2 linked regions of the Drosophila melanogaster genome follow. The protein of the gene in region 1 interacts with the protein of each later gene in a pairwise test. Each region holds a gene or a part of one and is shown on either strand. Other genes may lie near its edges.

Region 1 (4,855 bases):
GTTCGCAGAGGGAAAAGCTCACACCAACGCGCTCCCACTCATAAGAGCAGACTTTTCACTGTCAACTGGCAACCTTCGAGCAAATGAGAAAAGCGCTCACTTTGGCCCCATTTGCCACTCGTTTCTGGGTCATTGCCACAAAGATAAAGCTGAAGCCCAACGACAACTAAGTGGCTATCCGACTGAATTGCATTGCACGGATGCACGGTGTTACCCCGACAGGTTTCTTACATACCCGGGCGGTGTGGTAGCGTATCTGCATGCCCGTATGGCCGGTCGCTTCGTTCAATTGAATGCCGCCGATGGAACTCGAGTCGTCCTCCGTGAATTCGGTCTGCTTGTAGCGCGTCATCTGGAATGAGAATCGAATTGTTGCAAACCCATCAAATTGCCTACCAACGTGTATCTAATAATCTAAATATGTTGCTGCTATCTGTTATCACATGTTTTGGTCTAGGGCATCTGATAAGTAGACCGAAGCTTTTCCGCTCGGATTGTATAGATACCGTGCGTTCTTTAGCGCTCACTCAACGCCTTGTGCTTTACATTTCTCTCACATCCCCCACTGCTGCCCATTTTCATATGGTGCTCTATGTACTCAAAAGTGTTAACCCTTCAGCAGTCAGCAGAGCATTCCAAGTTTACGATATGCCTTGGGTTTTCAGAAAATGTGCATTCATCATAGGAACAATTTGCAAATTACCCAAACTATATGGAAATATAGAAATAGAAAAAGGTAATGCACAACAACTTAAGAGAAATATATGTATAATTTTGTACTAAGAGTTCCTCGTAATCTTTGGACTATTTTTACTCGCTATCTAGATATCCATTCGAAAGAAATCGCGAAGTCTGAAACATGAACATGAACAAAACCCATTCTCAACCACTTGTCAGCATTCCATGTCTAACTAAGGTGCCCAACTAAAAGTGAATGGGATACAGGAGCTGAAGCACGGACATACCGAACGGCAGTCGGAAAGCCACATTTTGGTTAATCTTTGTGTATGGGGAGAGCACGGTATGCGGTAGTGTGTTTATTTTTCGGAACTTCGACGGGAGGAGCTATACGAAAACAGAGCGCGGCAACGATACTATCTGTGCTTAGCCCATGACCGCTCGCAAGGCACTGGCGGTCGAGCCCGGAGAGCTTCGGAACTCAGGGACTGCGAGTTCCGAGTTCTGCGACCAACCAATTCAACAATGCCCGCCGAAAGCAGAAAACATCTACGGGCCAACGGCGCGTTATATTGGATAGTTTTGCATTGTACTCAAATTAATTGACTGGCGGCTGTGTGCGTGTTTACTGCGGCAATATGTGCCAAGATGTAGCCGAAATGGATATACTGGGCGCATTAAAATGAAAAGGAGCGGCATATGTATTCAATTAACACAATGCAAATATACACCAAAAGATTCGGCCTTGCTTATGTGCACTTCTATATATCTTCTATATCAACCCACCCATTTTCGGTATGCCGAATAATATTCTAATGTCGATTTGGGATCGGGGATCGGAAAGGCGCCATATGATATGATTTCGCACTCGATCTTGTTTGCCAACAAATTGGTATCTTTAAGCTTTCGATATAGATTTACGAACGTAATCTGGTGTCGGACAACAAGCGATATAAATAACATATGATGGATGGGGGCGATATGATATTGCAGGTATACAATAGGTATATAATACACGTGAAAATGGATGGGCCACATAGAACCACATTTAAAAACACATTAAGCAAGAGGTATCCCTCAGTTTGGACTGCTTCTCGCCACGATTTTCCATCGCAATGTAAACACAGGCTGCACACCAACTGACATTTAGCAGACTGTTGAATGTAAACACGCATTAAATGGCGTTACGCCTAACGAGCCCTCCTTTTGCCACCAATCAAATCGGCTAATGTATTGAAAAACAAGGAGGTAGAAAACCATTGAAAGGTTCGACTTAATGGGCAAATCAACGGAATTGACGTCTTAATACTTTTATGGGAAATATATTAAGTTCATAACATGATTGAATATGATGCAACTTTAGGTCCCATTGAAAATGATTAACTAAGTTATTATATACCTTAGTCTTATGCTCGAAATAAGGATATTTCACTCAACCATTTACTACGACTATTCTACCAAAGCGTCCATCCAAGGGAGTTTTAATGAACCGAACGGAGCCCATGTGAAAGTCAATGATGGCTACTTCGGATTCTCCGAGTTCATAAACGGCTCTTCATGCCATTTTTTTTGCAGGGCAACAGATGATAACTGCAGGGATTCACCGAATCACCACCACAATGGGATTTCACTTGAGCTGCACTGAGTTGAAATCTGGTAGAATGAGTGCTCTCGACTCGTCATTATCTGTCGTTATGCCACCTCCTTTCTCGATTTGGCTGCGAGTATCCTGGCTATTTGGTATACCATATGGTAGCTACTTCATTTGTGCAGCTTTCCTTACAATTTCTCTATACCAAGGACCATAAAATCGGAGCAGCTTAGATGTGTGAGTGGTGAGAGGGTGGTGTGCCTGGGATGCATTTATTCAAATGCAAATGAAATTATGACTTTGAATCGGACTGTTTGGAAGTGGTGTGGTGTGGTGGGGTGGTACTTCTGATTGCACATACAGCACACTCACACACTGACACACTCACACACACACACACACACGTTCAGCAAAAGAGAGGCGCGCTCTTGGCCTACCTTTGCGCTCATTTTCTTTGTGCGCTAGAAAGAAGGCAATGCAACTTTTCCAGCTCCCTGCGCTCGCTTTTTCTCGACCCTTTGCCGTTTATTGGTGCACTTTCGATTAAGTTTGGCCGACCCTCGATGGGTATAACATTCGATCGTTCAGTGATTCATTTAAAACGCGCTTATCTGCATTCCGCTCGCGGTCAAACAAACCGCTCTGAGCCACAAAAAGGCAACGGTATCCACCAACACTGCCAACTCGAGCCACTGACAGCCAGCTCCAGCACCAGCAGCAGCGGTAATCGCACTCGAACTAGCCTTTTCTCTCCAAATTTCACTCGGCGCTGGGAGTCGGGTGGTTGGACTCCCTCGAAAATGGAAAAACCATAACACAAACGTATTAGATGAGCAAAACACACACAAACAGAGAGAGAAATGCGTGGCAGGAGGGAGCGAGTTGAACCCATTGCCGGAGAACGTGGTCCACTGCGCAGGATCTGTTTGAACGGTGGCAACGCTTCGCGCAACGAGTTGCCAGACAATCACAGTGCCCTTCAACAAGCTATCGGTTTAACCCACGTAATCGAGTATCCAAAGCTAACGATTCTCGTAATTCTCAATTAATCAGCTAAATTTGAATACCAGTTACTCGTAGAGTAGAAGGTTATACTAGATTCGTTAAAAAAGCATTGTAACAGGCAGAATGAAGCGTTTCGAACTATATAAAGTATATATATTCTTGATCAAGATCAATAGCCAAGTCGATCTAGCCATGTCCGTCTGTCCGTATCTGTCCGTATCCGTAGATCTCAGGTACTATAAAAGCTAGAAGATTGAGATTCAGCATACAGCTTCTAGAAACAATGAATCCTGTGCGAGCAATGGCTATGAATAATGAACGTCAATGAACATGTCAGTCGAATGACAAAGTCACTATTCAATTTCACTATCTTCGGCAAAGCAGTAAAAATACAAGCATAAGGTATTGAATAGTCCATTAGCATAACCCTATCGGCCGACCTAAATTGCTTTACGTCACAACTGAGAAAGCAAACAATTCGCACATGCCCACCAATTGTATTGTGAGGCTTTTCGTTTTCTACATACATGTATGTACATATGTATATGTATGTTTGTATGTATTTTCCGTCGAACGGTAGCCACAACGTACCTGCATTGTTTGCCCGCCTCCGAACGCCACTCACCTGAAAAGTGCGAAACGGACGGACAACAATACACACATATATAAATATATATATATATATATATATTTGTTTATTTATATGCATATACAACATGCATATGTTAATATTTAGAAAAATATGTATGCAAAATATACTTGGTCATAAAAGATCAACGAAGGTTCGAATACAATTCGGGCGATCATCAAAGCACTGTGACTCGGCATTCCCCATTCGCCAGAAGATCTATGTACATATATGTATGTATGTATGTATCTCGACTTCTGGGGCAAACCAACATGGGAGCACACCTTAACCCAAAATGACCCCGGCCCGTGTCGTGCATATCATTAATGACCCAACCAATTATCGTGTTCTATACAGCAAAAAAAAAAAAAAAAATAACATCTCGACACTCGAACATGAAAGCACTTGAAGTTGCGTGTTCTCGTTTGGGAAAATAAAGTACGACCGCGGTTTTATGTTCTTTGATCGAAAAGAAAATAATCTCATCTGCATGTGGAACAAATAAACGATGAATGGATATGAACAATAAGAAGAATTAATACCACTAGTATAGCTAAATTTTATTTTGAGGATTCCTTAATAAAGCAGACGCAAATTAATTGAGAAAAGTGCGTCGACTAAAAGATACCCATTACCTGCAGCTAACCGAAACTATTTTGTTAATCTCAAGTCACAAGTCATATCTAATTACAGAGTGAGATAAATACAGGTTGTAAACTTGTAACAGAGAAAATTTTTGTGCAATTCGACTATATGATACCTAGTGGTAATATTTTACCCAAAAAGATTTAAGATGTTTAATCTGTTGTTTCGATTTTCGATTTCAGTGCTAAATAAAGTGCCTATTTTGATCATACCCCACCGAAACTACAGCTCCATTCAAATTGAGTAAATAAACACCAAATAATATGACTCAGGGCAGCAGAAAATCGCTATTGTTACTCATAACATGA
Region 2 (6,586 bases), on another chromosome or scaffold:
ACAATTTAGAGCCTATAGCAATAGTTTCTAAGGATAGGTGTTCTTTTGCCGCAGTTCCAACTCTTCGTTTCACACTCACATAAAGGTGATGCCCATGCAGCACTGGAACTGTCGCATCTTGTTGCGTCGCGCACGCGGAGAAACACCACCCGGAAAGACACGCTCCGGTCCCTGATACGGCGGCAGGACAACATATCCGGAGCCACTGGGAACGGCATCGGTAAGCGGCGTTGTTTCGTCCGTCATAATCAAAGTTAAACTGATGCGCACCGGCGACAAATGCAAACAGCACAGCTGCCAGTCAGGCCGACTCTAGAGTTGCCCCGAACACACTTGGTGGGCTTCCGACTCTCCGTTCGCCACACTTCAGATACTTTCGCCGGCAGAGACCGGCTGTGACAAAGCAACTTAGTTTATAATATTTTATAATGCCTGCGTTTGAGCGACGCAACAACAAGGCAGGCAACTGTCCACCGTCCAAGAACACCAGCCATCATTTTAAATTCTTAACGTAAACTTTAATAGAAAGACATGTGAGGTGCTTGATTAGAGTTCCATGTCGTCTGGCTGTTTGAACATGTCGGCCACATACTCATAGGTCAGTTTCAACAGATACTGAAACGGTTTCTGCTGCGGCAAATCGCCGAGCTCCACGCTCTCCAGAAAGTCTTCCATGGGTGGCAAAACGTTCTCGGAATCGTTGCCCATCAGCTGCGAGATTTCGATGATCTTGTAAAAGAGCAACTTCTGCATGTAATGCACCGCATTGTTGGGATCGTAGTCCGTCCAGTTATCGCGTTTTATAGCTGCACACCAGATCTTGTGCCGCATGTCGTACGGCTGTTCCACGTAGCTCAGAAGTTCCAAAGCTTTACGGAATTCCGTTTCGCTGGCAGTTTCATTTTCCTCGGCGATGTAAAGCTAATGATAATAAGACGGTAATATTTATAAGTGAATTAAGTATATTAATTTGTGAAATCTTACGCTGATAATCTCCTCTGCCTTGAGCACCTTCTGTTCTGCTGGATCGAAGCCAAAGCTTTCCAGTACGTCATGGCCCAGTTGCGATTGATATTCGACCAGCGTAAGATCTGCGTTGATCTTTTCAACTTGGGCAGTTAAATCGGATTCGGCTGCCGCGAAGGCGGCCAATTTGGCCAGCGACAGCATAGACTTCTTGCGCGCCACAAACTCCGTTTCGCATTGGGCCAACTCGTACAGCACCTTGGCCGCCCGCTCGAAGTCGCCGTTGAATATTAGCTGGATCCACCCAAGGGACGGATGGTCACGCATGAACTGAGCCAAAGCCGTCTGGTTGCCCTTGAAGCGTTCGAATACCTCGCCGTGCCGGTTCTGGCGCAGATGCCAATTGATGGCAAACTGTGAGAAGTCATATTCCTCGTACTTGCGGGTGTAATCTTCCAGTCGCTCCTTGTCCTGCGTCTCATCGCAGATAAGCACCAGGCTCTGAAAATCGAGGTACTTCTCGGCGATCTTTGCGGCGTACTCGTATTGGCGATCTTTGACTACAAAATAAAAAAAAAGACATAAGAAATATTTAAGAATTTTAAATTATGAATAGAATACACAACTTACTTAGCACGGAGATGAGTTCCCTTCGCTGAGCCTCAAACTGCTGCTGCAGAACATTGAACTTTTCCGTGTCGCGCACGCTTTTTAAGTAAGTCTTCCGTCCGTCCAAAACCAAATCAATTAGTTCGAATATCTGTTGGTACAATTGCTGCTTTAGCTCAGTCTCGCTAACGCAGTGGCTGCCATAGCGAACGCTAATGTCAATGAGGCGAGTCAGCGTGTCACGAACTCCCGCACTGCCAGCCATCGCAGTCCAAGGTAGATTCTCGTAGGAAGGTAGTTTTTCGTGGCTCAGTCTAAAGCTGCTTGCGTGCTGCTTTCGATACTTGAACACTTGTCCCAAAACGTCTAGGACAATGGAGTTTATCTCGTTGACAAAGTGGGCCACTGATATGGTGGTCTGATTCTGAGCAGCGATTCGATCGTCAGCAATATCCGCCAGGGCCTCGAACACGTTTTGAAACCTAGACAGCTTTACGTAAAATATATCCTGGTAAGTTAGGCTGCCCTGAGGCTCCTCATGCCATAACGCTACGGTGGCATCGATAGCCTCTTCAATCAGCTTGGGCAGTTTGGTCTGAATGGATCGCAGAGCCATAGCAGCCACTATCTTCTCGCTGATATCGGCTAGAATACAGCCGGTGGGTTTCAGCGAATGGCTTCCGCAAGGTATGACATTTAACTGGAACGAAAAGTATTGATTTTGTTAACAAAATCAAATAAATAAACAAATAAATATTTTGTCCTTATACCTTGTCCCAAACTAAACTGGAATGCAGAAACGTTATGAAGTGCTGGAAAGCAATGATCTTGTCCCTTAGTTGGTTGATAATCTGCATTGAACGAGAGCTGCCGATGGCATGCCTATTCATTTCCTGATCTGCAAGTGCCTCCTCCCATCGGGGATCGGCTATTGGTATATCCTCCGCCAAGTCTTCGGCGATGGTAATAACAATTCGATCCAACTTGTAAGCATCCATGGGTGCACCACTTGGATCGGCTGCAGTGACATTACGAAGCAGCTCATCGACGATCGTCTTGACCATATTGCTGTTGCGTTTCATGTGATATAGGAACGCTGCCTTTAGTTGACCAACTTCATCGCTTAGTTCGTTGTACATTTCATCCGGATCCAGTTCGAAAAGGTGAAGATTATTAGTACTGTTAGTCAAAGCAGAATGATCGGCAACTGCGAAACTAGCATTACACGAATTGGGAGCATATAAATCTGGCGTGTTGCAGGAGCTCATGTTCATCATTTCAGTACCATCAAAATCGCCCGGTGTAATAGAAACTAGGCCATGTGTGCGACTAAAGAACAATGGCAATTGGCTGCAGATGACGGCACTCAAAATGCGATCATCGTGCTGATGGAACTCGATCTTTTCCGCCTCTAGCTCTGCTGTCGGCACCGAGTTGGTCAAGTGCAGAGGATACACAACTTTAGAAGTATACAAATAGATGTGGCTGCTGCCTACTACAAAACGCACGCTGAGGCAATCCTCCTCAGTCTTGGCACTAAAGAATTTGTTCATATTGAGCGGCGTGAACGATTCCAGAAGCATTCTTTCAGCTTGAGCAGTGCCAGTCACTAAAATACTTAACATTATATACCATATCAAGATTTGCTGTCACATACTTCTTACCCAGAGCGTAGCACATTTGTGGAGCGTGAGCAGCATTCACAGCTCCAGCCAGTATATAAGCTTTGTTCTTAACCACGTGAAAGTCCAACAGATGGAGATCGATCTCCAAACTATCCGCTGGGAGTCGGAACTTCCAAAAGTTCGTTATAAACTCTTCGCGTATCCTGCGCAACATATCCGCATCCTCGTACAGAAGGTTTTCGGTGTTGCCATTGTTGGACAGACTCCAGCGCTGGATTGCACGATCAGAGAGCACGGCCACAATGGTTTCTCCACTTTCTAAATTGCTCTCGCAGCACATGCCGACCAAAGTCTAAAAAACACTTCATGAGATTTTTGTCCCATGCTGGACGAAGATACTTACTTGATCCTTGTCTGCACCCGTGTTCATTCCAATCAAAATGGAGGCAAACTTTTTGCCAAAACCACCAAGGAAGCTAGTGGCAGGCTTGATAGTCTTATGGTGAAGTGTGTAACGTCCGTTGGTCAGTCCGACTCGCAGGAATACCAGATTGCAGGTGGTTGTAACGGCTAGGTAGCCCTGCTGCGTTGGTAGACTGAGCAGCTGGACAAACTCTTGGCCAGTTAAGATGGAAAGATCCACGGAGTTCCCATCGTGCGCAATCGATGACCAGTACCGAACTTCTCCCGTGGCTGATACCGCTATGCAGGAGGCCATTTGCTGACCCTCCGTCTGGAAAACACTGATTAAATCACTCTTGTGACCCAGGTCACTGTAAGGTAAAGTCAATTCACGGCACTGGGCCAGACCACCACCACGTCTTGCCAGTTTGCCCACACGAGGTGGCGAGCCCGACTTGGCCGTGTCCTTATACTGCCAAATCAAGAGGCGTCTGCCTTGGACAACCTGAAAAGGTAATCGTACTGATTGCTGAACCAGATACAATGAGAGTTGCTGATATATTACCCAAGCCCAACCGTTTTGCGTCACTTTGGCTGTTACTGTGCCCGCTCCTGGACCTGCGAAGGTTAGTGCCTCATTGACCACCACCGGCAGTGGACAACCGAAGCTCTCTACCGAATTGTAATCGGATCGGATGCCGGCAATGGACTGAGTGGAACGCACCGACAAGCTGAGCCGGCTGAAAAGGATTGTTTGATGAGTGGGAAATTCCAGGAGAATAAGTTAGCACATACCTGTTGGTCAGGGCAGTCCTTTTGAGGCTCCCCGACATCTGGGCGCAACTGGCGCTGCCGCCAAAAATTGATTTACGCGTGCTGTCTGCCGAGGCTGCTGGCATGCTGTACCTTCGTGCACCTGGTGAAGATTCGCGCGATATGCCGTATAATTGCTTCTGCAGATTTCTCTCCATTTTTGTGCTGGCTCTTATTTGGGAAATGCCTATAAATCAAAAATAAACAACTACTTTTGCAACAGCAAACAATCTAGCCGGCATGTGTGTGAATCGATTTTTGATGTCGCAATATCGAAATCACAGCTGAGTACATTTGAGTTATTTATCGATTAGAAGTCACGACATTATACACAAAGAACACAAATTTAAATATAGGAAATTATTTATACTACATAAATGTATTTTATATACTATATACGATGAATAATTAAACTTTGGTAAACAAATTTTTAAATTAATAATTATATTAACTAATATTTGTGAGTCCATCTCTAAGACAAGTTCTACACGATGCCATCGCTAAGTCAAGACTAGAATTATTTCATAGATTTTCGTAAACAAAGCGAAAAACTCGACATAGATGGCCACCTGGACGCAAAATGAGCCGACAGGTGTCACCAAGCGCAGGCGTTGGAATCTGGAAGGTAAATCTCTGAGCTTTGATTGATACACGTTCATAAAGTGAAGATGTTTTCCCTTACAGATCGTGCCTCCTTGAACAAACTTAAGCATCACATCGCCGAGGAGGGATGCCCCCAGATGCAATACGATCTGGCCAAAGAGTTACTCGATAATTCCATAGGTGAGTGTAAGGATTTGCTCGAGAATTACAAGATAATGAAGATTGCTATGTCCGCAGTAGAGCCCAATCTTGCCAAAGGCAATCAGAGCCAGAAGGCCGTCAACTGGCTGGTGAGTGCAGCACACAATGGACACGAGGATGCAGTCAAGCTGCTACGCCAGTGCTACAACGATGGCAGCGGTATTACGGCAGAGAATACGGACGAAGTGCGTCGCTGCCTGGCTATGACGCCTGGTGAGCGGGCTGCCAGAAAAGCAGCCCGGGAGCTTTTTGCCTGCCTATCAAATGGAAACGAGCATATAACGCCCAAGCAGCTGGAGCGCAAAATGCGGCGCATCTACAATCTGCAACGCAAGCGGCGTCGACGCGATGATGACCGCTCCTCGTCGAGCAGCGAGGGCGAGCAGGAGCCGGAGTGCGAACCGCTCGAAGATGTGCCCACCATTGACCTAGCCAATGTGGAGCGACGCCGCCTCATCACCGAAGCTCACCTCGTTTCGGCAGCTTCCAATTACAGTGCCGGACAAATGCCCAGCGTTAATGATGCTCTCACATTATCCGTCCCGGATCCTAGGAGCTTGGACCATGTACCCTGCTTCTACCGCATGATCTTCCACCCGCTTATCTTCTTCACCCTGTTCTACCACCGGCTGCTTAACTTGATTGTGTCCATACCCAACGTCATCCCTCTGAGCGTGCGCTGCAGCGTGCTCGTTGCAATCTCTTGGTGGAGCAGCCGGCATATGCTGCCCCTGGTCAGCTATTATCTCAGTCTGGGCATCATGATCTGGGCCACGTGTAAGATGCTGAAAACCAAACAACAGTTCGTGGACTTTCGCATCTGGTCGGGACTGTTCCTGAGCTACGGGGATCAGAACATCGAGGCGGACATTGCGGAGCATCGCTTTTTACGCAACAATATGAAGCCGTACCTGTACTTCTTTTGTGCCTTCATTTGCAACCTGATTGTCTACCCGTTGGTCACAGACGCCTGGCTGCCACACTCGGAGCTGACTATAATCTCTGGAGCCTTGACCTTCATCACCATGTGCGTGTCCATGTACGCCTCCTCCCACCAACTGCCTGACTGGCTAGTGATTGTTTCCTTTGCCGTAAATGTTCTTGCCAAATATCCGTACGAAATGGACGAGGTTGTGTCTACGCGCTGGCGCTTTCTTGACCTACGCGTACCTACTTTCTCATCGTTTGTCATTGGCAATGGCATTGAATTCTGTTTGAATTGCCGCACTGCCTTGTATCTCTTTATTCCGGTGCTGCTAATTATGATGGCCAAACGCTCCCGTTGGCATGGAGTCTACACATTCCTCATCCCGCACTGCGTCACGCTCAGTTGGCTGCAAGTGTGCATAGCCACCTCGCAGAGTTCC

Evidence for each region. The genes of interacting proteins can lie anywhere in the genome.
Region 2: the proteins of Nep3 (region 1) and Nup133 interact in a two-hybrid assay, tested with the Drosophila melanogaster proteins (one large-scale study listed by BioGRID).

The regions. Positions count from the first base shown.
Region 1 is NC_004354.4:19,959,452-19,964,306, reverse strand, and holds the start of Nep3 (neprilysin 3), read right to left. Parts: upstream 3,011-4,855; 5' UTR 2,707-3,010; intron 2,619-2,706; exon of another isoform or gene 2,462-2,618; intron 1,132-2,461; exon of another isoform or gene 966-1,131; intron 353-965; coding exon 236-352; intron 1-235. UniProt on the Drosophila melanogaster protein: Metalloendoprotease which is required in the dorsal paired medial neurons for the proper formation of long-term (LTM) and middle-term memories (MTM).
Region 2 is NT_033777.3:22,688,687-22,695,272, reverse strand, and holds Nup133 (nucleoporin 133kD), read right to left. Parts: upstream 4,667-6,586; 5' UTR 4,574-4,666; coding exon 4,398-4,573; intron 4,343-4,397; coding exon 4,168-4,342; intron 4,108-4,167; coding exon 3,604-4,107; intron 3,553-3,603; coding exon 3,240-3,552; intron 3,185-3,239; coding exon 2,346-3,184; intron 2,276-2,345; coding exon 1,597-2,275; intron 1,527-1,596; coding exon 985-1,526; intron 922-984; coding exon 547-921; 3' UTR 501-546; downstream 1-500. Other genes in the region: cd (cardinal), read right to left, coding at 80-246; wfs1 (wolfram syndrome 1), read left to right, coding at 4,977-5,040, 5,100-5,198, 5,256-6,586. UniProt on the Drosophila melanogaster protein: Probable component of the nuclear pore complex (NPC). Plays a role in NPC assembly and/or maintenance.